3 linked regions of the Oryzias latipes genome follow. The protein of the gene in region 3 interacts with the protein of the main gene of each other region in a pairwise test. Links are inferred from orthologs where the notes say so. Each region holds a gene or a part of one and is shown on either strand. Other genes may lie near its edges. The genes, in order: E3 SUMO-protein ligase PIAS2, stx19 and 5'-AMP-activated protein kinase subunit beta-2.

Region 1 (10,062 bases), on a different chromosome or scaffold from region 3:
ACGTCCCTCAGGATCAGATTATAATTAAAAACAGAAAAATGAAGGTCGTGTTTTGTTCCTCATAACTGTCCCGCAGACTGGTACCGGTCCGTGGACTACAACTTTGGAGAATGGGGGGAGAAGAAGACCAACCCGCCCCAAAAATGAGGCTTCGTGAAAGTGAAGAGGTTGATGGTCGTATCTGCTAGAACATGCCCCCCCCCCCCCCCCCCCCCACACACACACAGCAGAAGCTCATGACAGGTGACTCTTCATCCCTTCATGAACTGCAGCTGCTGCTTTCAGACCTTCGTGTTTCTGGAGGAAGTCAGGGAGAATCTGAGGGTAAAAACACTGCTTTCATTTTGGAGATGACAACAATGACTGTGTGACTGTAGTCTGAAGCGTAAACGTTAATGAGGGACGCCGCTGCCATCAGCATCAGGACCCGGGTTAGGGTTAGTGAATGTGGAATGTTTAACAGAGAGGCTCCGCCCACAAAATGACATTTTTGCTTTGTCCATCAGTGGTCCAACCACCAAAAAACATTTTTCCTGAATAGAAAATTACGACAGAGTATTAGGGCCGACCGTCATAAAAAGAGAAAAATGAACAAATATGAGTTGTTAAATTATGGGATTAGAAGTATAACCTTTAGGAGAGTCAACTTGTAGAAACATGAGACAGAAGTCGTACTGTTATAAAAGAAATGCTACGATTATTCAGAATAGGTTTATGCTTCAAAAAGACGTCGTTTTACGAGGAAAAAATCAGGCGTTTTCAAAAGTTAGACGTTAAATTCAGCCATTACAGTGTTTTAACAGAGAAAAATGATTATCTGGTTAATTTATGTTCAGAAATATGGGATAGACGGGCTGAACCTGCTGTTCATTTTTGTGGATGTGCAACTTTATGACATTAAGACTATTTTAAAAAGCATCACTTTTTCCTTTTAATATTACAATTTTTAAAATGACGAATTTACAAATGTATTATTTTACTGTTTCTCTTTATTTATTATAGTATCTTCCGCCAACAACCTTTCATCTATTTTAAACATTCAACTAAATGTTCAGCTCTTTCAGCTTTTTCCAGCCAAGACTTCTAGTCCTTCAATTCCTTGAACTTTTCAAGATATTTCAGGATTTCTGCCTCCATTGAAATACAATTTTCCCTAAAATATATTTTTTGTTCTTGTGCTGTTTTCACTTTATTTATGGTTAACTTTGATTATTTCTTTATTTAATGTTTTTGCCAATTATTACCCTTTAAGTTTCCTTTTCATTCAGCAATACAGCTTTCAAGCCTTCAGTTTCTTCTGGAAAAGCAGCTCCTTCTCGTTCTAGTCAAATGTTGACTTTTTTCCTCATAATTTTACGACTTTATTCTTGTAAAATTGACTTTTTTTCTTCTATTGTTAGTTTTTTGGGGCTCTAATACTTGGTCATAGCAAATACATGCATGTAGCATGTAGTTGGCGTAAAATCAGAATTTTGAACTTTGGAGCTGACTCCCCTGAATAACTCACACGTCTTTCCTCTAATCTAACTGATGAGAAAAGCTCGTTTGAAGAAGTTTCTTAATCTGGCTTTTAAATTCCTGGGGGCAAATCTGAACCTCGTGTCCAGATGAGACTCTGCTCACCCTTTGGCGTGCATGTCGCCGTTCTTGGAGATGAAGACGCACTGCTTCTTCGGAGGAGGGTCCGAGTCCGAGTCCGAGTCGTCTGAGGACGAGCTCTCCAGGGTCAGGTCGATCACGTCTGCCTTCTTGGTGGAGCTGGGCTCTGCGGGGGGGGCCACCACCGCCGGCTGCCGCACAGGCGTGAAGGCTGAAAGGGAAAAGGGAGAGAATCAACAAAACCAGGAACAGCAGCAGCTTTCTTCAAGAAGGAAAGTTGACGTCCAGGAGCTGCTTTTCCACAAATGTGGGACCAATTCTTCATGAAAAATGAGCGAACTGACGGAAATGTTGATTGCAATCCTCCTTCGTCCTCACTTTTCCATAAAGGTCCGTGTTAATGAGAGATTTTTTGTCTCATCAGGAGAACGAACGTGGAAAGCAGAAAGTCAGATCAGAAGACGGTGAAGTTCTCTGGAGCTCAGCAGCGCTTTAATAAAGCAGGAATCCTCCATGACGCTCCAAACTTTTACCGTGTTGCATAAATGAAAAGACATCAGAGACAAAAATAAGATATTTGTTTATGCAGACAGTTTGCATTACTGCTGCTGAAGATTCATCATTGATGGATAAATAAGAGCAGAGATGCTCTTCTGATGGAGACGCCTGAGGTGGGGGGGTCTGAAACCCACGTGTCACCCACTGGTGATTTTGGAGGGGAAAAAAGACGAAAAAACATCCATTGTTCTTATTTGAAATCATTAGTCGTCTTGTTTTTCTTTTATAAATGTGACAGAAAGGACTTTTATTTTTTCCGGTGGAGTACAAACAGAAGTGTACATTTTCAATTGATTAGCTGGTGAAGATCAGCCAACCAGACATGGAGGAACTTCACCAGGAGGCCAGGAGTGAAGAAGACTCTGGTTTCAAGAACATTTGTCTTATTTTCTGCCTTGCAAGGAAAATAATCTCATGAAGGTTTTTCAGTAACAGTAAAACAATCTTGAGGAAACATGAATTCTCGGTCAGACCCTTTTTCTTACCCCATTGGCAGATTTTTTAAAGAACGGGATAAAACTTTCTGACAGACCAGGGCGGGGTACAGGCGGAAGACGGGGGGGTACATACAGTCTACTCTTGCGGGCGGCTGAGAGGAAACCTTCAGCGCCTCCTTCTTTGGCCTCATCGGGCACCAGGTTCCACCCTCCAGGAACTTGATCTCATCCACGTCTGAGCAGTCGTTGAGGATCTCCAGGAACAGGCTGGAGCGAGAAAGGAGACATCGGCGTCAACAAGAACACATACGTGGTGAGGGTCTGCTGTCCATCAGAAATGAACAGAAGACTCCAAGTCCTGCTGGCCCCCCATCACTAATGAACTCCTCCACACCATCGGGGAGCTGATCCTCAGAAAAGTCCCTTTGATCTTCATATTCTTCCAACAGGACAACAGTCTTTATAAACTTGTTAAAAACAAAACCCCTTTGCAGATTCATCAGAAGTAAAACTCATCCATGAATCCATTTCTCACCGTAATTAACCTACAGTGACTCCACTTTTACTCATCAGTCTTTTAAAGGGCCTATGTCATGCTAATTTTTAAACTTTGTAAGTGTGTTATAATGTTTATTCCTCACAATAAACATCCCCAAAGCAGAACTTTGATCCATGCATGCGATTCTGAGTATTCTTCTAAAAACCTGCTCTCTAAGCGCCAGCCCCTCCCAACCCACAAAAACGAGCACATTGTGACATCACAAAGTGAGAATCCGAGTCAGAACGCTTTAATTTTATACGTAATATGTGATCATCCATCTTTACAAAAGTTGGGATCTCGTTAGTTTTCGTTGGAGAAACGCAGACACACAGCTGAGGCTCTAAGATGACGTCATGAAATAGGCGGCACCCACAAGGAGAGAAAGGCGGGGCTTAGAGATCGAGTCGTCTTACTTCCGGGTCGGAAAATAACTCTGGAAATATTTAATAAACATTTGTAGTGCCAAAGGTCCTATATGATCACATACACGGATATGTTTACTATAAAAAAGGTTAAGAACAGCATAATCTAAGTCCTTTAAAGACCCACTCCAAGGAAAATGCTGTTTTACTAGAGGTGCAACACATAAAAATATATGGTTTGAATTATTCTTCAGATCAGCAAAAAGAAACATAAATATAAAAGCCAATGATTAATCTTCTGAAAATCTTTGAGTACTTCAAAACATGTATTTACACAAATAAATACACATCACATCATAACATTTGCTTATTGAGGCCTACTTTAAAAAACACTATTGACATTTTTGAACTCAAGATATTCCTGTTCATAAATAATACTAAGGATGCCTGTATAAACAAAGTGAAATAAAGTGAATTTCTTTAATTTGAACCTAAAAAACCAAGGTGTTTCTCTGGGAGTCTTTCCTTACCAAGAAGGAGGGATCCCCAGTTTAGTTTAGTTTAGTTTGTTTAGAATTTACCTATTGAATTGTATGTCTTCCTGATCTTTATGATTTTATTTTTACTATATAATAACAAGTATTAAACCCAATGAGACAAATAAGGAAGTAATATAAAGAAAATTGCATTTCTGAATATTTCTGTGTTTAAATCGTCGTGAATGAGGAGCAGACAAAATCCCAGTTTGATTAAAATAGTGTTTGTGACGTAGAAAATACGCTGGGCGGGGCTAAAGCTCTGGACCCTGGCTGATGGCTCTCAGTGGATGACGCAAAATGAAAACATGCTGCAGAGTCCGTTCACTCGTTTAACCACAGAAAAACCTGGGCATGGCGAGAAATGCCAGGATGGAAAACATTCCCATGAGAAGCGCGTGCTTCAACAGGACGGGGAACTGAATCAGGTGAGCCTGTAAGCTCACGTCCATCTGGAGCTGCTGCAGATGAAGGTGTGCAGGAAAACCAACCCGTCGATGATGAGGTTCTCATACGCAGCCTTCTTGTCGCAGACGGGACAGATCCAAGTGGGCTTCTTCTCGTTCATCTGCAGGTAGAGGGCGGCGTCGAAGCACTGCAGGTGAGAGCACGTCACTGCTCTGCACGGCACCGTCAGACGCATCTTCCCCAGCTGCCAGAAAAGACGGGAGCAGAGTCAGGCGCAGAAGAACCAAGACCAGCAGAACCGCACAACCCAGAGAGGCAGAGGAGCTCAGGAAAAGACCTCCGGGAACGCTTTGACAATAGATCAGAAGGGGATCGGAGTGGGACTTTCAACACAGGCTGATGAAACCTCCTTCTGCCAAGAGATCCTTCAGTTTACAATCCTAGAAAAGCAAAAGAATCACCAAGTCCTGGGTGTCTGCCAGCCGAGGACTGGCCCAGCTGGAACCATGATCACACACAAAAAAAAGTAAAGGTAAGAAAAAAGTTGAGTCTTTGTCAGCATCATGTAATCCCATAGAGGGCATGTCAGAGTTAGCGCAGACCTGCTGTAATTTCCCTTTGAGCTGAACCAGAAACAGAGAAACCAGTAAGATGCTGACAGTGGAAGTGAAGACCGGAACTCAAACCACTGATCCCACATCTACGGTCACACAAAGGAGCTGCTTTGTGAGGAAATCACTCATCTGGCTGCAGCGCTGAACAAAAACCTCTATTTCTACATTTAGCTCTTTGCTTGCACCAGCTTACATCACTAACTAGACTACCATCTCTAGTTAAACAGGTTAAAGACTCCAGCTGCGGGTGACTGACATTCACTGCAGCCAATCAGAAAGGCCCTTCAGTGGAGACACTGGGATCGGCTTACAGGGCACATGAGGGACACCCGCAGACTGGTGGTGGCGACCTCGCTGTCTGGATCTGCCGTCAGCTTCTCTTTGACTGAAACACAGAGGGAGGGGGGCGTCAGACAAGGAGGGGAGACAAAGACGACGCAGGACAGGTCAGAAAGTAATAAAGAATTACTCAGAGCTCTGGAGTGGTCTGGGTTCCTGATGCCCTTCATCTTCAGCCTCTGCAGCAGGAGCGGCGATGTCAGCTGCCTCACCAGGTACACCGACATAGAATAGGTCTGAAACAGAAAAGCTACGCGTTAAAGTTCTGGACGTGACTTTGGTGCAAGCAAACCCGGTCCAATCACCACATCTGCTCACCTAGATAGATAGATATTCATAACTTACTACCGTAATTTCCAGGCTATAGAGCGCACCTAATTACAACACACCCAATTTAATGAGGATTAACCACTATTTATATACACAAGTCACATGTGTATTCATGCCGCATGTCATGGCGACTCAGCTGATGCGTCACTGATTATCTTGACCCGATTATTGATAGACCACGGCAGTCTCAGAGACGGAGGAGTAACCAGTAGTTTAGCCTATTTGTTTGAACACACCCACATCTGTCAAACAGCATGGAGCTCACTTCAGCTCACAGCTCCCTCAGTTATGGTGTGGAACTTCACACTCAGATTCCCCACTTCCCATGAGTCTTAGGGGTTTAAGGCAGGGCTAACCCCCGGTTCGCCACACTGTGTTGTAGATTGAGGATGTATATGTGCTGAAACCAGTGCGTGTTTAAGAAGGAGCAGGGAGCTGCAGCGGAACGCGAGAGCAGCTCTCCCCTCCTTCCTTCCTTCCACGGCACCAATGTGGAAATAACAGGGCTGGTTAAAAAACATACCAGTAAAAGAGAGCAGCAATGACTTATAAGCGCGCGTGGCACGTGCTCTACGTGGCTCTGCGCGGCACACATTCTATGTGGCTCTGCGCGGCACAGCCACAACAGTGAAGGAAACTTCTGGCAGGCAGCAGACCAACTTTTCCAAACCCGTTGGTGATGGTGGATTTTTAAGCTGCGTCATATTGTAATGGCGGTCACGTGCACGTTGGGTCTAATGGCACCAAAGGATGAGCATGGGTTTTTCTTTTATTGCACCATGACTATAGTGTCTAACAACTGAAGTGAGGTCCATGCTGTTTGGCCGCTCGTGTGTGTATTAAAGCCATCGCGCTTGTTGCTGGACGTAGAATTATGCAGGCAGTCTCCCCTCTGAGACTGCTGGAGGGCTCCTGGCGGCCGTTAAATAAAAGCATAAATTAGCCGCATCATTGATTTAGCCGCAGGGTCGAAAGTTGATTACAAAAGTAGCGGCTTATAGTCCGGAAAATACAGGGGGAAAAAAATAATAATACCAAAAACTACATAAAAAGTCCTTCAATATGTGATAAACCAGAGAAATAATAATAAATAACATGACAAAAACTTCCACAGTATCACACTTTACAAGAAGAGCTCCACCTTTCCGATTTCCGGCGCCCATGTCACTGAGATCTGGTTGGGCACTGCGGAGGAGAGTCTGACGAGGGACGTGATGTTCAGGGGTCTTCCTGGTCTCTTCGGCTCCACGCCGTTTTTCGGGGGTGGGGCAAAACCCTGAGAGAGGCTGGATCAGTTGGTGTGAAGTTCCTCAGAGGGTTGACGTTCTGCGGGGCTGAGTACTCACAGGCAGAGGGAACAGCTTTCCGTTGACCTTGATGCACAGACCGTTGGGGTAGTTGTCCTCCTGAGGACAGCTGGTCTCCGACAGGCAGAACCTGAGCACACAGCAGGAAGTCAGAAACTGAAATCTCTGCTCGGTTGTCACGTCATCAAAGTCGGCTTTCTCCATGGAGATCATATGATGGAACTAATCTGCAGAGGAAACGATGCTGCAGCCGAAGCGGAGGCCACAAGCCCGAACGCAGGCTCTGCAGTCCTGGTCTGGGAACTCAGAGAAATTAGACGAAGCGATTCCAGTCTTCTCTCATTTCCACACATGCTTGTCAGATAACCAGAACTCCCTTCAAGTAAAAGCGTTTTCAGCTAAAGGCTCTTCCTCACAGAGCGCTGCTACAGTTTCTGCTCCATCTGCAGACTCTGTGGGTGAGTGAAGATCCCAGCAGAACCTCTCCGAATCAGCTGTGATCCCCCTGAACTTCTGATCTGATTAGCTGTGATTGGCTGAAAGGAGTGCTTAATCCTGCAGATTTCTGATTCTGAACTGTGAATTGGACCAGAGGACCCCAATGGCAACATTTACCTGCAGATTATGATAAAAACCTGAAACTTCTTACCTCAGCTGGATCTGAACTAAGTAGTCCCTCCTTCCTCCAGGTAGGAAGTCCCTGAGGAGAGGAAGAACAATCAGTCACGGGGCTCTCAGTCACGTAGCCGATGTTCCAAAGATGACTCACCGCGATATGCAAACCTCCCGGACCTGCTGCGGCGTCAGGGCAAAGATGAAGTATTTCTCCTGGTGGTACCTCTGTGCAGCGCTTACTCCTGCAGACACACAACACGCCCTGTCAGCGAACGCCTGAACACCATCAAACCATGAAGCACGGAGGTGGTAGTGCCATGGTGGGATGTCTAAAAAATAATTCACTGTGAAGACAAAACCCTTTAGACGAAGTCAGAGCTCTGGAGTCACCAACAGAAAAGGGACTTCATTACGAGGTATGTGTGTGTGTGTGTGTGTGTGTGTGTGTGTGTGTTGGGGGGGTCACAGAGTCTAGGATTTAAGTTCCACAGTATATGGAACTAATCAGCTTTAAGAAGGTTGAAATAGGAAAACATCTGATCCAAGTTCAAAGGTGAAACACAAAGAAACGTTTGATTGTTTTGGATTTTTCAGACTAAAAAAAGCCACATAATTCCAAATTGAAAATGAAATCCCATAAAGTAACTGATCGGGAATAAAGAAACATTACTGAATTCCAGATGGAGAAAACAGAGAAAAGGGGTATTTTTTTTATATGACTATATAACCAAACATCAAACTCTGCTCTGACACGACTGCTACTGAACATCTGCTCTACAAAGTGGGACATAAAGTCACTGCTCTGAAACATTTGCTGTCAGCCAGGAACTGTTCAACTCTTTTGTGTTACCCATGAGTTACGCCTGGGAATTGACAGGCTGGTGCTGCCTACTGGGATTTAGAACTTGATGTTAAGTTTTCTTCTGAAACCAATAGCTCATCGTCCTGGTTTGGTCTCTGTGGAGTCTGACTGGAATAAAGATCAGAGCGGATCTCATCTGTCAGCCCTGCAAACATCACACACCCAGACTGGAGGGCTTGATGAGGACGTCCAGAACATCGTAGAAGGGGAGGGGTTTCATCTCCACATCAGGGTGGACGGGGGGAATGAGGGGAGAGGGCTGCTGCAGGTTCATGGCGATCTCTGCGTGGGGCCACACGTGATCCAACAGGTCCGCAGTACTGGGGTGCTTCCTGCTAAAACACAACAGTTACACAAAAACTACAACACAGTCTTACACAAGCCCTGAGGTGCTGAGGTGGGCTCCAGGACGGCCCCTAACACACCCAGGACCAATAGGACCAACCATTGGTGATGTGGGCACAGAAGCAAACCAGGTTATCTCCACCTGATGGTAAAATAAAGGTTAAAAAAGTGATAATATCCAGGGAGCAGCCAGTAAAGCGTCTAAAGCTGAGCCCATCTGCTGCAGCTGGAAGACTTCTACTGCATGACGACAGAATCCAGACATCTTGACTCTTTCTGCTAGAGTCGTCTCACATGATTCACTAATATAACACGGTACACGAATCGATCACAAAAGATGCAACTAACTTTTATCTAAATGGATACAATCTAGTCATCATTGAAAAATAAAAATGAAAATGCCTTTTAACAGAGAAACTCTTATTTTTTTTAGCAACAAAATGTCTTTGAAGCGACAGCTTTAAACATTAAAGCCTACGAGTCTGAGTCTTTTAGAACCTTTTTCCTATGGTTAAAAAAAGGTGTCATATCAATTTGTTCAGGTATGAAGGTATTCAGCTCAACAGGAAGAGTAACAGACAAAGAAACCGATTTTTTGTTTTACTCCCTGATAGATTTTAGAGCTTGGTCATTTCTAACTCCATCAATGTTTTAAGCATTTCTCTATGGATTACATCCCTACTAGAAGCACAGTTCTCTCTGTTCTGTAAACTGTCATCATTTTCTTACAACTCTATAAACAAGAAACAAACACCCTATAACCAGGCTGCAAATCTTCACTAGTAGATAAATCTGCTTTAGACAAGTCAATAAGCAAAGTAAGTAAACTCCTGAGGGTATAAAAAGCTCTTTAAAGAATTAAGAGTGCAAAAGTAACTACAAAAGAGCCTGTGAACAGGTAACCAATCACTGAACCAGTCTGTAAGCAGTCAGTAAAAGCTGAATGACCAGTCTGTTCAAAAAAACAAATATAAAAATAAAAAATAAGTCAATTCCGGAACAAAACCTAAAGAATAAAGGCAACTGAAGGGTGACAATCACCCCAAAAGGTCCGTAAAGCCCCAGTGTTCAAGTTGTAAACAGAGTCAGAACAGTTGTAGGTTTAACCACAATAACCAGCCGGTAAATAGTCAGATAAAGAACCAAAAAACAGGAAATAAGCCTTCTATAACCAGGCTCTAAGCAGTCAAACAACCAGTCTGTAAACAT
Region 2 (10,129 bases), on a different chromosome or scaffold from region 3:
GCATGTAAACTGTTCATTCCGATCGTGTGTCACAACTGCTCTGGTTTACGTCACGCATAGCCCAGAAACCTTTAAATGCTGGTGAGATTAATTATTTTTTTTATCACAAACAATCTCTAGAATAGATGATCCATTGAAATCATGTCTTTTCTTGGAGAAAATACAAATTTTAAAGTGCATTTATTGTGAAACAATTCCACACTCATTAACTGAAGTTCCTCTGACAGGAAAAAAAAAATGAAGAAGGAAGAAAAATGAGTCTCTTTTGTGGAAGATGGTGAAAGATCAGTCTCGCTGATGCAGCAGGGTTAGTGGCCTTGTTTGTGACCTCTGTCAGCTGCAAGTGAAGCACTCCAATAAGCAACCGTGTTGCCGGGGTGCTTTCTCTGAACCATCCCCTTCATTATCACACGCTTCACACCCTCTTGAAAGAAACAAGTGCTTCCCATACCAATTCTTGCCTCTAATTGTTTTCAATGCTTGGCTGCCTCTGCTCACCCGTTGCTCTGTTCAACAGTCTTATTTGGCGGGGCTCAAACGTCACAAACAGCATCTCCATGGAGGGCAGCAGCAGCAGCACAACTGCCTGCATGGATTTCTCTTCTTATACCTGGCTGCCAATTTGAACTTCTCTTTAGTGACAATCACATAGTCCTGTGTCCTCTCAACATTGGTTTGGATGTGCTCAATGGCAGCCCCTTGTTCTTCCACCAGCATGAAGATGTCCAGGAAGAGGTCTCGGAGTTCCTTCATGTTGTTCTCCAGGCTTATCAGCTCCTGTCAAGTTACACAAATCATTGTGGTCAAACACTTTATGTTTGTCATACAGGGATATTAGCTAAAACTCTTCTTATAAATGCTAAATGGCCTGTACTTGTTGTATAAAGCGCTTTACTACCTTCTGAAACTACCTTCATGCCACCCTCAGCACCGCATGTTCAAGTGACCTCTTCCAATGAAAAGTATATGTAAACAGGAGAAAATGCGCATTTCAGGCTTCCACGTTTAAAACTCGCTATCACGCCGAGCTACTCCTGTTTTTACTACAGTTTTCGGGCTCTATGTACGAAATGAGCAGCCTCTGAATGCTTGTTGCAAGTTAAACCGGATCAAACTTTGACCAATAAGGGACTCAGATTTGGTAGTGAAGTAGGTATTCAAACTTGTCGACCGTTTGAAAATTGATTATAGAAAAGAAAGTAATATTTAAGATTTGTGCGGCAAATAGAATTCTATTGACACCAAGTCTTTCATATATTGGATTGGAGCTGTGAAAGAAAAACCCTGAGATTTGTACCACTTTCGCTCCAAGCCTCTTCCAACTGCAGATGGTGGACATGCGCTAGTAAACAGAGGTAAAATAATAAGAAGAAGCCCCTCCCTGCTTGTCCAGCGTGAACAGGGGCTAAATGTGTGTTCAAGAACCCACCTTTAACCTATCATATGCCCGGTGAGTCTGTGGTTTTAGAAGGCCCAAAGCACTTTAAAGTCACAGTTCCATGCACACACACATTCAAACCTATCCTGCACTTTTATTTGCAAACTTTAAGATGTGCTATTACTTGTTGATTGGGAGACTATAATAACAGAAGTTACTCAGATACTCCAAGACAAAATGTGTCAATGTCTTAGTCTGATTGGTAAATAATAAATGGCTAATAAGATGCAAATGATGAAAACTGAGACACAAAGTTCTTATTGATCTACAGAAATATGTGCATTTACAAAGTATGCATTGATTTAGTGCGTTCCAGGACATTCAGCAGCTTTTGAAGTTAAGTTTTGCCGTGGTTCAGTGACTCTCCGGTGATACCCTCACCTTGTGTCGCTGTTCGATCTCGGATAATTGGGAGCGTGTGATTCTGGCGTCATTCAGCAGATTCTCATTGAAGACCTCCCATTTTCCCGTGGCCACCATCTCATCCACCTCCGCCTCTTTAACATCCTTTCCCAATACATCCAGCTGCCGCATAATGAAGTACTTACAGCGCTCCTGCTTGCTCAGCAGACCTTCATTATACTGGAGCATGACCTGGAAGGAAGTTAAGGGAAAAAGACAATAGGAAAAAAAAGAGAAGAGGAATGAGAGGGCTTTACAGTCCCACCTTGTTGTGCAAAAACCTCTTCATCCTTAACACTGAACTGTTACAGCTACAGTGTTTAATCGCTTGAATACATTCTCAGTATACCTTTATATATTAAGCAACCAACTCTTTTACTCAGAACTCACTAGTGTGCTCTTGAAATAAACAAAATAAAGAAAGACGTTCTTTTACAAAGTAGCTGCAAATCTTTCCCAACCTGCTTGAATTTGCTGTACAGAGCTGCGTGCTGTGTCTTCTGTATTCTTGTTGCTGCAGCCGCCTTTCCTTGCTGCTCCTCGGTTCTTTGGGCTTGTTTTGCGATGGCGTCCAAGCGGCGATGGATGCTTTCAGCCTGAATCTTGATGTCCCGTGTTAAGCTGCTCTCTTTCTTCATCACACTAAACCGACGCATGGTTGCCACTAAGGTCTTCTGCTCCTGAGTGATTTTCAGCACCTGAGCAACATTTTAAAATAAGAATTTTGAGAAAAACTTGTGATTTAATTATAAAAAATGCCTATCTATTGGCATCACTGATAAGAAAACAGTTATTTTCTGTCTTGCAAGAAAAATAGCTGAATCAAGAAAGTTTTTCAATAGCAAAATAGCCTTAGTATGAGAAAACGTGTTAGTGATTAGAATTGTTTCATTAAGAGTTCCCCTATCTCATTGTGAGATTTTTTTTTTTTAGCCTATCCAAAGAACATTTGCCAATGGAATGAGGATTTTTGACTTATAAAGGACCTGTTTTTTCTGTGTTTAATCTCTTACAACAATAAAAAGTACACACACTCTTTTACAAGTTAGTGACACTTCTTTTTTTTTTTTCTTTACCTCAGTTTCAAGTGTTGAGATGTCAGTGCGGATTTGCTGAGCTTCTGTCAGGAAACTTTCAATGATTGGCTCTGCCTCAAACACCACAGCCTGTGGGGTGATGCCTCCCACCACCACAGAGTCATCATCACCATCCTCCTCTGAAAAATGATTGCCGTGGTCATTTGCCACCTCTGAAAACTCCTGGGCCCTGAGCTGCAGCTCCTGCAATCTGTCCCTCATCCTGAGAGTGTCTTCCCTTCAGGACACAAAGTTATTGTGTGTACTCACTCTGCCAAGATGAAACAACAGAGCACAATGAGTGAAAAAAAAAGCACAACGAAGAGCACCAATCTTTTTTGATTTGCCATTATTTGGAAATCACATAATTATATTAAAAGAAGCTAGCTAGTACATTTTAGCTTATGAAATCTGAAATAAAAAGACAAAACAACATTATTTTTCTCTTGGAAAATTTTAGAAAAGTACATTTAAAAGAATTAAGGGAAAAATGCATCAAATACAGCAATGATTGACACCAATAAATAATAATAAAAGTGACCTTTGGAAGCAGTATGCCAAGATTTTACAAAAACTAAAAACTGTATAACATGTTAAACTGAAAAAGTGTCTAAAGTGATGACCTTTGCATCAAATATGATTATATGACCTGCATGTGTGTTTTACTTAATGGAATCACAAGCATCAGTACAAGCAGTGGTAACTCGTACGAGTGCTGCAGGTTTTTGGGTTGTCCGGGCCCATAGTGGATCGTAGATAGAGGTAGAGTAGAGTAGCGCAGGTGTGTCTTGCAGTTCCATTGAGGCTAGTGCGGCCACTTTAAGGAAAGTCTTAAAATGGGACGTACCATTGTTGTGTGTTTGGTTAGTGTATCATGAAGTATAAGGCAAAAGGAATTTACATGCACCTATGACGTACAGGTAAGTGCATGCACGGGGTGTACCGGTGATATGTAGGCATACACAAACTATGCTGTGATTGTCTAATATCCAAATTTTTAACAGCCAGGCTGTGTGCAAGGGGCGCACACTTATCACTTTAACAGCACCAAGGGGGGACGTTGAAAAATGGAAATTCTGTACAGCGTGCCTGCTTCTCACTTAGTTCACCCTTCCTTACCCTTACGTGTTGCATAAGTGATCGCTATGACCTGACGCTCACAGGATTCCCGTAGGAAAAAATGTGCATAAACATTTTCACCATATGGGCTCACTGAGCTGTCTACAACTTTAATAGTTTCTCCGGGCCACCTGCGTGCCCCACAAAGATTTGTCAGATTTTCACCCGTAAGGGGAGTTATGACTGAGCAATAAAAGGATGTTGTTTTGGCAAAATGAAAACCAACTACTAGAAAATGCTTGTTTATCTAAACATCGGTCAAACTGACTGGAGTTCCATTTTCCCATGAGAACTTGGTTGTTTGTGTTTCTTAAGAAAATAAAAGGAAAATGAGGACGCAAGGTAACTCAGTAAAACCCTAAACTAAACCAAGTATAATGAAATCTCATTTAGGTCACATGTAAAACAAGATGGTTTTCATTGAGACTTTGCAAAGTAGTTAAATGATATTCTACTAGATAGTTTTAGATATTTAAAGAGTTTGTTTTAAAAAGTTGTTAACTAATTTCTTATTTTCCATTCTGTACATCACAGAATAAAATCTCTTCAATTTGTTTTATTCAAACACAAATTTGCCTGCTCTCACATGGGCATACTGAACATATTAATCTGCCTTAACCTCACTTGGGTCCAAGTGTGAGGGGTCAGGACATAATCTTTGAAAGGAATGTGATAGAGTGGGGAAAAAGAGTGAATGTTAAGAAATCCAGCATTACAAATCACAGGCTGTCCCCTCCCTGGATGGATTTTAAACAGGAAAGATAAGTGTGTCCGTGTATGAGTGTGTATGTGTTTTTGTTGTAAACAGAACTAATGCGTGAGAACTCAAAGAATGCAGCAGAATTTAAAGGAGCTGAGCACTTTCCTCTCTTGCTGTGTGTACTTCTCAGCACAGATTAGCTGATTAAAACATTGGTGGTGGGATTTGGCAGCACATTCTCCAGGGTTTATCCCCAAAAACCTGGACAAAAGTGGAGCATGCTTCAGGGAGCCTGACCTTTGTGTGTGACAGAAGGTTTTGTTCCCTCAAAAAGCGCAAATATTTTTTTCTCTCTTTGCCATACACCTGTTCTTTTGTCTGTGTTTCTGAAGAAAAACCTTCTGTTGACATTCTCTTGTTTCTGTGCAGGTAGGAACTGAGTGCCCGTATATTCCACCGCCTGTCTTTCTATATCAATAAATAAACTGTCTGCTTCTATTTTCTTAAAAAAAGCTACTCCTACTTTTAAACAAAAAGTTATTTTGAAAGTCAAGTAAAAAAAAAAGACTTCTTAAATATAAAGCCTTGAAGTTTAGAAATTCCTTAACCTAAAATGTGAAGTCATATCTGACTAAAACCAGCATAGATTAAGTCTAAAAGAAAGATTTAGTTCTTAATTTACCTTAATGTTGCTTGTTTCCCAACAGGCATCTCTTTTAGGAAAGAAAAACTCAGAACAGGAATGCCATCCAACTCTCCCAGGTCACCTTCACATTCACCTGATGATCTTCAGCTTTGAATAAAAAAAAATATATTGATGTATATACTACCATTCAAAAGTTTGACCACTAGCTGTTAACAAGACAGTTACACTCCAAGCAGGGTGAAAGTCTGATGAAGTCAGGTTTTAAGCTCCGCCCCTTTTTCATAGGGAAAGCACTGAATGGTCCAACCAGGAAAGCAGCACATTTGAGACCGGTTTGCTCTCACATAGAAATGAGAGGTGATGTGACAAGGAGAATGAGGAGGTAGAGACACAGAAATCACAAACCCTGCCCTCAGGCGTATTCCTTAGCAAAGAAAACAGAGCTGAGCAAATAGAGGTGTAATGCGTAAAAGGTGGAGGCCAAACAGTAACGTGGTTCCACTGTACTGGAAATATATACAGTGAGAGAACTTCTATTTAAATTTGTTTTGTTTTGTCAATTTTTTTGTAGGTTAAGTTCTTTTGCTACACACATTTAAAGTGACTTCTAAATTCAGTAACTTCACCACCATCACCTCTTTGTAAGTCCATGACATTTTTAGGACTTCTCAAGAACACACCTCACCATGACTGTAGAGTGGTGCCCAGTGGTGACTAAGAGGGAGAGGATCAGGTGGAAAAGATTTACACAAAAGACTAATGATTGGTCACATTGCATTTTTCAAGTCTATGGAAAACCCTTAAATATCTACCTTTAAAAGAAAAAAAAGTTGAATATAAAACAAAATACAGAAACATTCAAATGTCAGTAGAAGATTTTTTGTGATAAAAATTAAAAACGAATCATCAAAAAAAGGTAGTTCAAAGACTAGAAGCCCCAAGACCAGGAGTCAAAAACCTGAGGCTCCAGAGATGCAGCTCTTTTATCCCTCCATTCTGGCTCTTTAGCTTTAAAGAAACATTGTGATAATTAAAATAAATAATTTATTTTTATCAGGAATTCATTGGCAATTAAAAAATAAATACATTTTTGTTGTTTATACTTCGATTGTTAACATGTCACATAACTGAGCAAACCAATGGAAACAGGTTTTATCTAATTTATTTTTAGAATACTTTTAAGGCAATCCTGCTGCAATGTCCAAAAAAGTAAAGAGTGCCTAACAACTGGGATTTTTTTTTAAATGTAAAAAAACAAGATAACCTTTTAGTTTAATTTTTAAACCATTACAGGAGTGTGTTTTGTTTTGCCAGCAAGAATTGAAGTAAATGGGTAAATCTTGAACAGCTAGAATATAGTTTGGTTAATAAAAAACAAAAATAGAAATGTGACATGACATTAAAATTAAATTAACTTAGGGTATTCAGAAACAAAATCAGCCCCACATCACTTCCACCAGGACTTTCCTTGGGAAGCTACATTTCCCATAAACTGAAGATGTTTTTTTTTGTTTTTTTTCCAATGAAAACATGGCTACCAGGATTAATCAATTTTGACTAGGATTCTTTTTTAGTTAATTCAAACACTCGAAAAACCATTTCTATGTAGTAAACTTGTAACAATCCCACATAACAGCTGTTCAAAAGAGCAGTTTGTAACGTTTCTTTTTTTGCCAAGCAGTTCCTCTCACAGATCTCCCATCACCTTTTCCCATCCATTCCCACCACCTTCAGACCATCTATTGTCAATTTCATTTTTCTCTCTACTACAAGGCCCTTGGTAACAGCAACACTCCTCTATGGAGTAGACCTAAATTATCAGCAGTCGCAGAGAAACCTCACATCATATGAGGATGACATGACATGGCAGGGTAATATCTGACTTCTCGACGAAGACAAGCACCGGGATGACGTATGGGTTATACACCAGGAGACAGAAAAAATGAGAAAGAGGAGATAAATGAGTAAGGTGATAGAGATGGTCAGGGGGGCAAGGATAATGGGGTCAAAAGCATGGTCATTAAGCCAATTGAAAAGATTGATACAAGGGTCAGTGTCTTTTAAAACTAAAATGAGACAATCGATGACCTGGAAATTATCTGTTCCCCTTGCAAGTCTGTGATATTGTGACTGAGGTCATTGAGATTTTAATTACACTTCAGCGTACACTTTATTCACTAACCAACATTCCATTGCGTCTTTGAAAATATACCTAATAAGGAAAAATAATTCTGCTGTTTTTTGTAAAAAGTAATAACCTTAAAATGAACTTCTTAAAGAAGCAACTTAAAGGTAATAATGGCATTAAAAAAATTAAGAAGAATAGAAAAAGAAATTGAAGTGACAGACTAAAAATTGTTTAAATTGTGAAATAAGGAATATTATGAAAAGCCCAAATTCTAACTTAACTTTCCTTCACATCTGAGTTTAGACAAACAGTGTATCCTAGAAAGTGCATTCTACTATATTAGATGGTCAATGAAAATCGTGTTTTTTTAGTTTTTAATTTGTTCGTGTGGCATTTTTCTCATGAAAAAGAACAAATGTAATAGGAAATATTTTCATTTTTTGCATTCTGAGTATTTCACTTTTAAATAGCTGTCAGTCAAACTTTCGCTGTTGTTGGCTGTACGTATTTAAATGTAAACTTAAAGTTAGAGTCCCATTAGCTATCACTCACCTAGGTGCGTGAAATGTCTCCACATTTGTGCTCCCTCTCAGAGTTGGAAGGGTTGATGTCCCGCACTAACCAGAGGGTAAAAATAAAAACAAAAATAAAATCAGGGAATCTCTTTTAATATTGCCTCGATGAAAATAAGAAAAATATCATAAAGTTCTGGAGGCCCAAGCAAGTTGGCTCCCCGTCCCGCAGCGGCTCTCTGTTGGGCTGCCAGCTCGTCTCCCGGAAGCTGACATTGTCATCGCGATCGCTCCACCACCATGGGCCTTAAGACAGGCTGTCCAGGGTGTACCAGCCTTCACCCAACAGTAGCTGGGACAGTCTCTGGAAACCCTGCTGCCCTAAAAGGGACAATGTAGGTTAAGAAAATGGATGGAAGTGCAGGAGAACTATCGGAATCATCCGCCATATTGGATGTGTATTCTACTCGCTTTCACTGAAAATGACACATGCCCAAAGTTGAGTCCTTGATTTGGTTAATTTGACGCTGCAACCTCTCCAGAGTTCAGCTTTTTTAACTCTGGCCCGCAGCTCGAAATGTGCAGAAGGACCTCAGATTACATCTGTAGCATTGACTTAACATGAAATTGGCCATCTCTGTCGTGCAAATCGCATTTGGCCCCTTGATGGCTGTGTTTTCACACATGCAAGACACAGTTGGCATCATAAGAAAAGTGGCTCAAGGGTGGAGCTCCTCAACTCAGCACCCACAGTCACACAGTAAAGGAGATTTTGGAAACAGAGGCTTCAGATAAACATGAAATATGTCTTTTTAAGACATCTCAGGTTGTGATTTTGGTTCAACACATCACAATCATAATCAAAACACCATTGAGATAATTTAACAAGATGTCCTTGAAAGGCCAGTGTTTTTTCCAGATCCTTTAGAGCAGCAGTTCCCAACCCCTGGGCTGTTGACTAATACTGGTCCATGGGACAATTGGTACCAGGCTGCAGGGGAAGATTGTTTTGAAAAATGTACTGGAGTCTCTCCATTACATCCGACTCATTCTTGATTCATGTCAAGTTGCTTGGTCACGTGTCAAAAATACATCCTCTACTTTCTGCGCTCACTGCTAATTTTAACCCTTAAGCTAGCATATTTAACAAAAAACAAACACATTTGGAATGTTTTTTCACAGAAAAGAGCCAGTGAGGAAACAGAAGAGCCTTTAACTTCAGACAAAAAGGAAGTTGTACATCAAATCTGCTCTGCATAATATCCAGCAACCGGCTGTCTAATGTTAGAAGGATGTTGCTATTAAAATTGTTTAAATAGTGGACTCGTGTTTACTATTCTATTTGGAAAACACCACTTTTTTTATTTTGTTTTCATCTGTCGCACCTTAATAGTTGGATGAGGCTGAAGGCTGCTAGATCCCGTTTTAATGGTTCCTACTTCAAATTTAGTGTATAAATAAAGTTTAAAGCAGCTGCAGATATTTTTGCAGAGGTTGAAAATACAATTAAATTAAATGAAACTGGAGGTTTAAAAAAAGGACACCCACATCAGGCCAGTTGGTGAAAATATTGTCTGACATTAATCCGGTGTGTGCCCTGAAAAGGTTGGAGACCACTGCCATAGAGGTGAAATTCCAAGGGACTCTCAAGTTTCTCATCACATTTGGTTACATGTCTCCAAAAACCAAATAACTGTCAAAGCTGGTATTGAACTCAAGCCGACAGCAAGTATCAACTAAATTATTGTTAACCTGGAACCATCAATGTTGAAATTGGACAAAAATCCCTGGAAGAAAATTTCAGAAGAGTTATTTCTTGTTGATTCCCACATTGGAAAAAAACAAGGAAAAAAATCTGATTTGATTCCAAAAATAAACATGTGCAGTCTGGATCTTTTTTAGGAATAGTTTTGTAATTCCTACGTGTTTTTGTTTTTTTTAATCAGCCATTTAACTTTGACATTTTACACAAATTTTCTGATTTTTGGATACAGTTTATTGGCTGGCAGGTGGTTTGACTCATGGGCAAACTCAACAGAGCTTCAAGTCCATTTGTCCCACACAAATGCCTTTTTCAAAGTTGTTGAGTGGAGTTGGCTTTGATCAGC
Region 3 (10,162 bases):
GAGACTGCCATCAAATTCATGGCATATGAACAAGTTAGTTCTCTTTTCTGTTTGATAAAACAGAGTAGATAGCCATTTACGACACATTTATTGATTGCAGCCACGGTTGTGTTTCATATCACAGTATAAGAAGTTGTTGTCATCAGAGGGAAAGAAGATTGAGACCCATAAGAGATTTATGGCTGGCTCCATGGCTGGGGCAACAGCACAGACAGCCATCTACCCTATGGAGGTTAGTGGGGACAGATTTGTCATCCCTCCAACCAAATGAGGATGAAAGTAAGAGACTTTCATTCACTTTTTCTTTATTTTGTCCTTCAAAAGGTCTTAAAGACTCGCCTGACCTTGAGGAAAACTGGCCAGTATGCAGGGATGTTTGACTGTGCCAAGAAAATCCTGAAGAAGGAGGGCGTCATAGCTTTCTACAAGGGCTACATTCCAAACCTGCTGGGGATCATTCCTTACGCCGGGATAGACCTCGCCGTGTACGAGGTTCGCAGGCATGGTCTCTGAACCCCAAGTGAAGCTTCCTAAAGGAGTTCATATTGATGAAATGTGTGTTTCAGACTCTAAAGAACGCCTGGTTGTCGTATTATGCCAAAGACTCAGCTAATCCTGGAGTTCTGGTGCTGCTGGGCTGTGGGACCATCTCCAGTACGTGTGGTCAGCTGTCCAGCTATCCGCTCGCACTCGTACGCACACGGATGCAGGCACAAGGTAAATTCAGTTCACTATGACTAGATGCATGTAAATGAGGTTGACATGAGGCTGAAAGAAGCTCAGTTTTGCATTAAAGCCCACATTATGTAAAAATAACTGCAGATCTGCTTTTAGAAGATTTTCATCGTACTGTAAAAGCAAAACTTGTCCAACCCTGTTAATCTGAAGTCTTTTGTGTCATGCATGACCTCTATGGTGTTATGGGACAGCTAAGTTAGTAAGAGTAAGAGCCACAGGTGGAAGTGAAGGCGAAATGATTGAAGTTTTTTTTAGGTGCCAGGTCCAAGAAAAATACAGAAGACCAGGAGGGGGAATTCACAGAAAAGCCCCAAAGTGTGAGGAAGTGTGTTAGAATTTTTAGTTGTGACTGCTACTTTGATCTCCAGCTGGATCATTGGCAGTGCTTATGCATTACTAATAAAATAAAAGAACTTAAAATAACTTATAGTTTTTCCATATGGAACTAGAAAAAAGTGGTTCAAATAAACTGCATTAAAAACTAAACAATAAATATTTGTCATATTTTGGCTTTAGGTAGCTTACTGAACTTTTTACTAAATTTAGTTGAAAGAAATTTTTCTGATTCTAAAACAATAATTGAAACTCCCCATAAAACATTGGACAATGTGATAAATACAAAATTAAAACATTCTAAAGTAAATACCTTGAATACGTCTTTAAAAAAAACATTTTAATGTTATTTATTATTATTTATTTAAAGAATCTGCAGCAATATTCATATATAATGAGCAAAAATCAATTTTGATTTCACAAACAATAAACTCCATTTAACAAAAGCTATAAAATGTCTTGTTAATCATTTTTGCAATTAAACTCCTTAATAAATTCAAGAACTACTCATTTTTCTCTGCAAAGATTCCTCAAGTTCTTTTTTTATAAAAAACTATCAAATACATTTTTTTTATATAATTGTATGTTTTTTTAAATATAATGAAACCATATTTAAATTTTTATTTGATTTATTTTTGAGTTGATAATTGTTGTCTTGTCATTTTAGACTATTTACATTTTCATTTTTTTCAGAGAATATTTAGCTGTGTAAAGTTACTTTACCATATTTGTATAAATTTCTCAGTATCTTAAGAATGTTGTAACCCTTGTGCTATCCTAGACACTTTAAATTTGGGAGTTGGGCCATCTAGACCCACTAGACAGTGCTCTGAACCTTTTTTCTTCAATGATTTGTGATCTTCACTGGTGTCCATGGATCACATGAAATCTTTCCACCTTTAATCCACCTTTGTCATGGTAGGGAGAACACGTCAATGTAAGGGTGGGGTCATCTAAGATAGCACAAGGGTTAAAAAATCCATTGCAAAAATTAGGAATGCCTATGCACCAGCTATCCTGTTAATGTAAACTGTTAATAATTATCCTGCTCCACATGACTAATAATAATCAATAATCACAAACCAGAGTTTAAGTTTTGTATTTCTTTTCAGCATCTCTGGGTTCGTCAGAGCAAGTTTCCATGACTGGCCTGTTGAAGACGATTGTAGCCAAAGATGGCTTATTTGGACTCTACAGGGGCATCCTGCCAAACTTCATGAAAGTTATTCCAGCTGTCAGCATCAGCTATGTGGTTTACGAGTACATGAAGACAGGCTTGGGAATCTCTCATTGATACTGCATATGACTACAAAGAACATTCACTGTATTTATAAGACTTGAAGATGTAAGAAAAAATTCTAAAGGACCAAAAAAAAAGCTAACAAAGCATGATTTTATTGGTGGATGGAATGAAAGCTGTATGTGTAAGACTTGCCTGCCAGTAGTTACAGTATATTTTAAATCAGTTGTGGTGCGCATGCTTTCATTTTTACCTCGAGGTTGCACATGAAACACTCCTTTCCAACTGAGTCTTAAACAATGTTTAATCCATACAGTTCTATAGATATAAATAGTTTAAGAGTCATTTGTTTATGCTGCGTTTCTATTTTAAAGACCCACTCCGATCATCATGTGAGATATTTTGAAAGTGTTCCAAGTGTAACTATGACGTTTTTAGCCAAAAACAAAAAACCTATCGTATTTTAGAACATATTTTCTGCAGCACGGCAGTGGTTCATTAGAAATTCCTCTCTAAGTTGTGGGCAGAAACGTTAGTTCGGAGTGAGCCTGCCCCCATTTCCCCACTATTCAGCTTTTTACACTCTCTCCCTCGTGCTTACAACCCCTCACACCCCCAACCAAACAGTGGTACAAGAAAAATGAATATTGGACAGTTTTGAGCCAGATGCCAGGTTGGATGAGGAAAACAAAGACGTACATGGACCTATTTGTCTTTAAGTGGCTGTGTTGGAATGGAGCGGAGCCGGGAGCTTGTTGCCTAGTCATTGTAGTTTCTTCGTAACAAATGGTATCTTTCTTTTTCATCTGTTCCTAATTCACAACAATTTAAATTTAGAAATACTCAGAAATGCCATTTTAAGCTTAATTTGCTGAATTTAAGTCCCCCATCATCAGAAAAATGCCACTAGAGCCTGTCAAAAAATACCATTTTAATTGGAGTGGGTCTTTAAGCTTGATTTTAAAAAACTGTGACACAGCATTACTTTAGTTAAAAAGACAGACATCTTTTTGTTGCAGAGTTGGTTGACTCTTGTCCTTTGCTGTGTTTGCTATGAAATGTGAAAGGTGACACTGAGTTTTAAGCCCAGAGGCACAACTGAACCCTTAAGTTTCAAACACCTTCCTTAATGTGACGACAGAAACGCAAAGATCTAATCAGCAGCTGTGAGCTTAAGCCAACTGGTCCTCAAAAAATCAATGTGTTTCACGACACACCTTCTTGACATGTGAAAATGACTAACTCTACATTCTTCTGGTGGTAATTTATGAAATGTGCCTTAAAGCCTCTTGATGCAGACCGTGAACATGATTTTTTCAATCTTTATAAATATATGCTGTATTTATGTACTAACTATACGAACAGGATTTCGGTTATTCTATTTATTGAGTTATTGATGAAACAGTGGTAAATGGTCATTGCATTGAAATTCCTGATGAGAAACACTCTCATGTGTGACTATTTTTGCAACCCAGTAAGACCTTAGTAAGACCTTAAAACATGGGTTACTCACCTGTTCAGGTTGGTGCTGTGTTTAAATGTTAAAGCTAAAAGGTGGGAGGTTTTCTTTTTTCTTAAATTTTTACTATAAGACTGTTATTAGCCTTTTATGTTTTGTTAAAAAATGCATTTATGAATATTTAAAGAGTTTGACTGCTTTGGCTTTAGTTGTTATGCATATTTATGATTTGCTCTTGATGTTGTCAGATTTTAGGTATTGGAACTTTTTCCATTGCAATTAGTAAATTTGACCTTTTATTGATTAAACAGTCCCCATGAAATTCTAAAAAAATAAGTTATTTGGTTTAAATTATCTTAGGAAATCCTGTAATTATATATCTTAAGGCTGTAAGGATTTAAAGTACTTTGCTTTGCAGTTTAGTCCTGTTAAAAAGATTATACAGAACTATCCATTTTGGTGATTTTAAGTCTGCAAGGCTTTAATGCTAAAAGAAACAATTTATGTATTTTTTCCCCTTTTTTTTCTTCGCCCATATGAATCAGGTTGAAAACGCCTCAATTAGTAACTGCTTTACAGCAAATGTTGACCAATCAGGGCTGTCTGGTCTTTTAAGGAAAGGAGGCTTTTAAAAAATAAAAGTAAGAAAATAGCATCATGAAAAACATATCAGGGGATAATACTGTCATGTATCAATTTTTTTTCTTTTATATTAAAGCATGTAAAAAATTTAGGCAAATAAATTCATGAATATCAAAAATGAACATCAGAAATATGGTCTTTCGTTAAAATTTAAAAATGAGTGACAGAATAAAAGTGTTTGGACATAAATCCATTGATGTTCTTAACCTGCTGTATCCCTTTCGGGGTCACAGAGTCCCCAGAGCCTGTCCCAGCTGTTGGGCGAAGGTGGGGTACACCCTGGACTGGTTGCCAGTCGGTAATGGAGCCACACACTCATAGCTACACTAAGGGACACTTTAGACTCACCAATTAACCTATAAAGCATATTTTCGGACTTTAGCATGAAGCCAGGGTGCCTGGAGAAAACCCACACAGAAAGGTCCCAGCTGGTATTTGGACAAGGACCTTCTCGCTGTGAACTAAGAGCACTCACCGCCACAGTACAGCCCTGGACAGAAATACGCTCACTAAAAAATAAACAAAATTCAATTTCTCAGTTAATGTTGTAACTTAAACTTTTTAAAACATTTTATAAACACCCGCAACCAAAGCAGTTGTGATGTGATAGGTGAGCTGATATTGTAGTAACAAATTGCTGGGGAGGGGGGGGGGAATCACACCTTATCATTTCCACAATGTCATTTAAATCATTTTGTTTACCTTGATGGAAAAAAAGCTATGATAGAATGAAAAATGCCAGGGATGTCAACTCAGCTGTTTTACCTAAAATACAGTGTATTAAATTAAGTAATTACAACCCCCCTAAATAATTAATCACTTTGAATCGAGAGTACACATAGACAACAATACATATTAAAATGAATGAGAAACACTTATGCTCATTGCATTAACGTCATTAAATGACTTAAGTAACACAATAATTTGTATTTTTTTATGCAAATTAGGGTAAATCTTTTTTTTATTAAATAAATAGTATACTTGATACATCTATATGTTACATTTTATAGTATAAAAATGTCTTTTAATTTCATTTCATTTTATTTGTAAAAAAAAATTACATTGACTAAATTGTACATTATTTGGATAATTTTACTACAACCACTATTAAGAAGAGACACGACACCAAATAAAGAATTAATTACATTTATTTAAGTATTTGTAAAATTTCATAAAAATGTTTTTTTTTTTGTTTGTTTGTTTACCGGATGTTGTTTTTGTCGCGGCTGACTGCTTTTTTTCCTTTACCGACCGCCGTAGTTGTAAAAAGGGGAGGATCTTCGCTGGTGTCACAGACTTTCCTGCTGCTCTTCAACACAAATCATCGCCTCAGCAGCGATAGGCCGAGCTTCTAACCCTTTTCGGTTCTTTTAAATGACTAAAAACAACAACAAGTACTCTATCAAATTAGTTAAATTGTTTTAGTTGTTATTTACACAGTGAAAGGAGTTCCCGGTTCGAAAGCAGAGTGACAGCTAGCTAGCTGCTAGCTGACTTTAACAGCGACCAGCAGCTAAAAATATTCACCAGGACAGTCGCGAGGTAGGCGGGCACAGCAAAAGCGTCCTGCGCAGTTACCACGGTAGGTTACAAATAGTGTGTTTTGTCATACGAACTAAGCTTTTTATTGATTCGCAAGTCATTCGGTTGTAGTTAAAGCAGATTTTCGAAGGGACCCATCTGTGTCCAGGGAAGTTCACTGATAGTTCATGATGCTAAAAATACCTTCTAAACGTGGGTAGGTTAGCTGTTGTGAATATTTTTATTTTCTTTATAATCTAAAGATAAACGTATCGTTGTTTTCCACATCATTAGGCTGTTTTGTTTTTTGATTGATTTATTTTTAAATATGACTCTGGATCATCCTTAGTTCTAAGAAGAAAAAAACAACAATCACAACTGATGATTTGATGTTTTTTATAGCTATAACTTTAACTCTCACGAGTAACACAATTTTAGTTTATTTTCTGTAAAACCAGAGTGTGACATATGTGAATGTCACACAATGTGACATAAAGCGAAATAGGATTTGCTGTTTGTTGACTAAAGCCAAGGCTGATCAGTGTTCCATGAATCCAGCAGTGTCACGGTGAACCCACCAGTCTACAGTGTTCAGCAAACACCTGCGCCTTTGTAGTAAATAGAAGCTTTTGTGCCCTGAGCTTTTAGTTTTTTCTTTTTTAATTTGATCGTTTATCTATGTTGTTCACTGAAACCTCCTACTATTTTATCCTTTAAAATTAAGACATCTTAGCTTGTAAACTAATTTGAAGTGATGGACTTGATTATAGTGTGAAAGGTTTATACTGCTCATTTCTATGTAGGGGGAGGGGGGATCAGTGTCTCTGTGGGGACGTAAAAGGTGATGCTTGTGAAAACAAGCACCATCATGTGATCAAAATTCAATTAGAAGTTGTATTCTCTTTTAGGTTTTTAGTAAAAAGTACATTTTACTATGATTATTATAGAATAGTTGCATGTCGTTAACTTAAACCAATCTTATCAATGTTTTATGATACAATATTTTTTAAAAAGCTTACTTTGGTACTTAAGCAATTTTTGCCTAACATTACTTTCTTGTAATTTCTTAGTAATATGAAACAAAAGTTATCCTAGAGTTCGCTTAAATCAGATCATCTTTACAGAGTTCACTTTTTTTTTAGCAAGGGAGTTGAAGTCAGTCTGGCTCTTTACTTGGTTCAAATTAATAACTGAAAAAGGAAAAATAAGGAGAGGAAAAACTGTCACCAGATGCATTTACATGCCCTTAAGAAACCGAGTGAAACTGTGTTTACAGAATAGTTTCAAGTTTGTTTTTTGGCATTAATCTGCTCAGTGAAAAACAAGTTTTTCAGAAAAGACTTACATTGTAAACTGTTTGAAAAGACGACAAAAATCCTCTATGAAAGCAGAAAATAATAGAAAGCATCTGATAAATATGAATAATAAATATCCTCAATGCAAACATGAATGAACATTTGTCATAAAAGTGTTATAAATAATGGTTTAGTTCCCACTTCAAGAGTTTCTCCCCCCTATATTTTGCACAGTAAGCAGTGAAGCATCATGGGTAACACAAGTGACAGGGTATCTGGAGATCGGCATGGAAACAAGGCCCATCGTTCCGACAGCAGCGGCAGCCACAAAGACCAGGAGCACAGCACCAAGATGGTGGACAGCACAGATGATCCCAACATCTTCAACACCTATGGACCTGAGTCTAAAGTAGGAATCCAACTACTTCACTATATAATCTCATTTCTTTCATATTATAAATATTTATGTTTGCTGTTAGGGGCTAGGAGATAAAGAATTCACCCCGGATCTGGATGACCTGGTGAAAACTGCCTCCCAGGCCCGTCCCACAGTGATTCGCTGGGGTGGTGGGGGGAAGGAGGTTTATATCGCAGGCTCTTTCAATAACTGGAACACTAAGATTCCACTGAATAAAAGGTAAACCGTTGGTTTTACATCAGTTATACTGGTGTCGAATGTGTTTTGAAGTTTTGTCATCGTTTTAATATTGTTTGCTTTTTCTTTCCCTCCTCAAAGCCATAATGACTTTGTTGCCATTTTGGACCTGCCTGAAGGAGAGCACCAGTATAAGTTTTTCGTGGATGGACAGTGGGTTCATGATCCTTCAGAGGTACCCGAGTCATTTTTCTGTGCTTGTAGTTTTTGTGGAAAAAAGTTTGAGCTCTGCTGGTTTCTGGGTTGCAGTCAACATCAAAACCTAAAGGATTAACTGAAAGCGTTAACAAGCTAATTTGCTGGCAACAAGTCATCTTAACTGAATATGAAGTAACATGGTTGAAGCAATAGGAAATGTTTTCTTGGAGTATAAGTCAGTAAGAACAGATTTTAAGCTTGGCATTGGTCAAAACTTGTCAACTAACCCATCTAAAACAGATTGGACAGGATGGTTCTGTATGTTTTATAATTTCATTTTTAATTGTTTTTTTTTACCCCTTATTCATGCAAATATTCATTAAACAACTTCTGCTTCAAACTTACCTTAATCTAGCATCAACTTAAAAAGCACAAGCATTAGTGAAATTGTTGGGAATAAATTGGGCCGTCAGGGGGTTAAGTCTGTAAAGCACTTTGTTTCACTGTAGAATGAAAAGTGCTTTATAAATAAAGTTAATTTGTGTGTTTGGTCTCTTCATTTAGCATTTGGTGCTTGTCATAGCAGTTGTGTTTTTTTTTAAGGTGTTAATGTTTGACATGTTAGATGATTAACTTCAGGATCGTTGCTGTTTTGCAGCCGGTGGTAACCAGCCAGCTGGGAACGATCAACAACCTGATCCAGGTGAAGAAGTCTGACTTTGAGGTGTTTGACGCGCTGCAGGTGGACTCCCTGGAGTGCTCGGACACATCAGGTGCGTCTCCTGTGATAGATCTTGTTCTCTTGCTGCTCGCCTAAATAGATTGGTACATTTTCGGCCTTGAACACATCTTCATGTCTCCAGACTTGTCCAGCTCGCCTCCAGGTCCGTACGGACAAGAGCAGTACATCTTCAGACCCGAAAAGCACTTCAAAGCCCCTCCGATTCTCCCCCCTCACCTGCTTCAAGTCATTCTTAACAAGGACACCAACATATCAGTCAGTGTTTTACGTTTTCTCAGTGATTCATCCTTTTACTGTCAATTCCGTCTGCTTCCATGTTGCTGTTGTTTCTCTGAACAATAATCTTTGTGTTTTTTTTTGGTCTCTGCACTTCAGTGTGACCCTGCTCTGCTGCCTGAACCCAACCACGTCATGCTAAATCACCTTTACGCTCTCTCAATAAAGGTACATTCACTGTTACAATGTTGCTTTTAGACAGAATTTTCCATTTAAATTGGAAAATATATATATATTTTTTATCTGCCTCTTTGCCTCATCTTTTTAGTTTTCCTCAGTGTCGCTGAGTTGAATTTTGATCGTGACAGTTTTGGTTCTAGTTTGTCTTCATTTAATTAGCCCTGGACTGCAAGGACCTGATTGTTTTTACAGTTCTTCTTTCTTACTGCATGTTTTGGTGAAAATGTCACCCCTGCCACATTCTCAAAAACTCCCCAAACTTTGCACACGACACCTCCACCTCCAAAAAATGATGACATGACAGCAGGCGAAACTGTCAAAAAATGAAAGGAGGCAAAAAAAAAAAATCAACAAAACCAAAACACACGAGTCGGGGCTATCCAAAGGAAGTTTTGAAATTATTATTGGATGGCCACAGAACCATGAGGAGTATGAAATTAGGCGTTTTAAGTCTGCTACCCAAACCAAAGTGTTGTTGACCTTTGACCTTGAAAAGAGGCAGCTTTTTTATATTTTCCACAAAAAAATGGGCGGACGATGCAGTTTTAACTTTGTATTATTTTTGCAATTTCTTTTCTTCCAGAGTTGCAGCTCTTGAACCCTTTTGTTTTTTTTTTTCTTCTGTGTAGGATGGAGTGATGGTGCTAAGTGCTACTCACAGATACAAGAAGAAGTATGTCACCTCTCTGCTGTACAAACCCATCTAACCCGTCTTCAGATGCTCAGAGAGAGCAGCGTGTTCGTTTTCTTTTCAGTTTGCCATCACTTATAGACAGGAGTTGCACTGAAACATGTTTACAGGCTGCTCCAAAGAAAGCCGCACTTCTACACAGGGCTCTGAACAACGGTACAGGGTGTGGGGTTTTGGTAAAAGAAGACAACTCTACTACGGCTTTAGCTGGTGACATCTCCTTGCCGATGAGCCTGATTAAATCACTGCGTG

Evidence for each region.
Region 1: the proteins of 5'-AMP-activated protein kinase subunit beta-2 (region 3) and E3 SUMO-protein ligase PIAS2 interact in binary tests that used the Homo sapiens proteins (3 or more experiments, as listed by UniProt). The link is inferred for Oryzias latipes from reciprocal best matches to the Homo sapiens genes PRKAB2 and PIAS2.
Region 2: the proteins of 5'-AMP-activated protein kinase subunit beta-2 (region 3) and stx19 interact in binary tests that used the Homo sapiens proteins (3 or more experiments, as listed by UniProt). The link is inferred for Oryzias latipes from reciprocal best matches to the Homo sapiens genes PRKAB2 and STX19.

The regions. Positions count from the first base shown.
Region 1 is NC_019867.2:30,478,719-30,488,780, reverse strand, and holds part of E3 SUMO-protein ligase PIAS2, read right to left. Parts: intron 8,991-10,062; exon of another isoform or gene 8,954-8,990; intron 8,844-8,953; coding exon 8,671-8,843; intron 7,889-8,670; coding exon 7,801-7,888; intron 7,732-7,800; coding exon 7,681-7,731; intron 7,162-7,680; coding exon 7,071-7,161; intron 7,001-7,070; coding exon 6,866-7,000; intron 5,631-6,865; coding exon 5,525-5,630; intron 5,441-5,524; coding exon 5,367-5,440; intron 4,686-5,366; coding exon 4,525-4,685; intron 2,862-4,524; coding exon 2,728-2,861; intron 1,811-2,727; coding exon 1,624-1,810; intron 1-1,623. UniProt on the Homo sapiens protein: Functions as an E3-type small ubiquitin-like modifier (SUMO) ligase, stabilizing the interaction between UBE2I and the substrate, and as a SUMO-tethering factor.
Region 2 is NC_019879.2:17,535,892-17,546,020, reverse strand, and holds stx19 (syntaxin-19), read right to left. Parts: upstream 5,713-10,129; 5' UTR 5,418-5,712; intron 3,188-5,417; 5' UTR 3,139-3,187; coding exon 2,917-3,138; intron 2,539-2,916; coding exon 2,302-2,538; intron 2,033-2,301; coding exon 1,820-2,032; intron 778-1,819; coding exon 541-777; 3' UTR 162-540; downstream 1-161. UniProt on the Homo sapiens protein: Plays a role in endosomal trafficking of the epidermal growth factor receptor (EGFR).
Region 3 is NC_019875.2:22,986,095-22,996,256, reverse strand, and holds the start of 5'-AMP-activated protein kinase subunit beta-2, read left to right. Parts: upstream 1-5,672; 5' UTR 5,673-5,994; intron 5,995-7,462; 5' UTR 7,463-7,478; coding exon 7,479-7,637; intron 7,638-7,707; coding exon 7,708-7,865; intron 7,866-7,964; coding exon 7,965-8,058; intron 8,059-8,679; coding exon 8,680-8,794; intron 8,795-8,884; coding exon 8,885-9,018; intron 9,019-9,138; coding exon 9,139-9,207; intron 9,208-9,848; coding exon 9,849-9,926; 3' UTR 9,927-10,162. Other genes in the region: calcium-binding mitochondrial carrier protein SCaMC-1, read left to right, coding at 1-33, 125-232, 325-492, 567-717, 2,184-2,365. UniProt on the Homo sapiens protein: Non-catalytic subunit of AMP-activated protein kinase (AMPK), an energy sensor protein kinase that plays a key role in regulating cellular energy metabolism.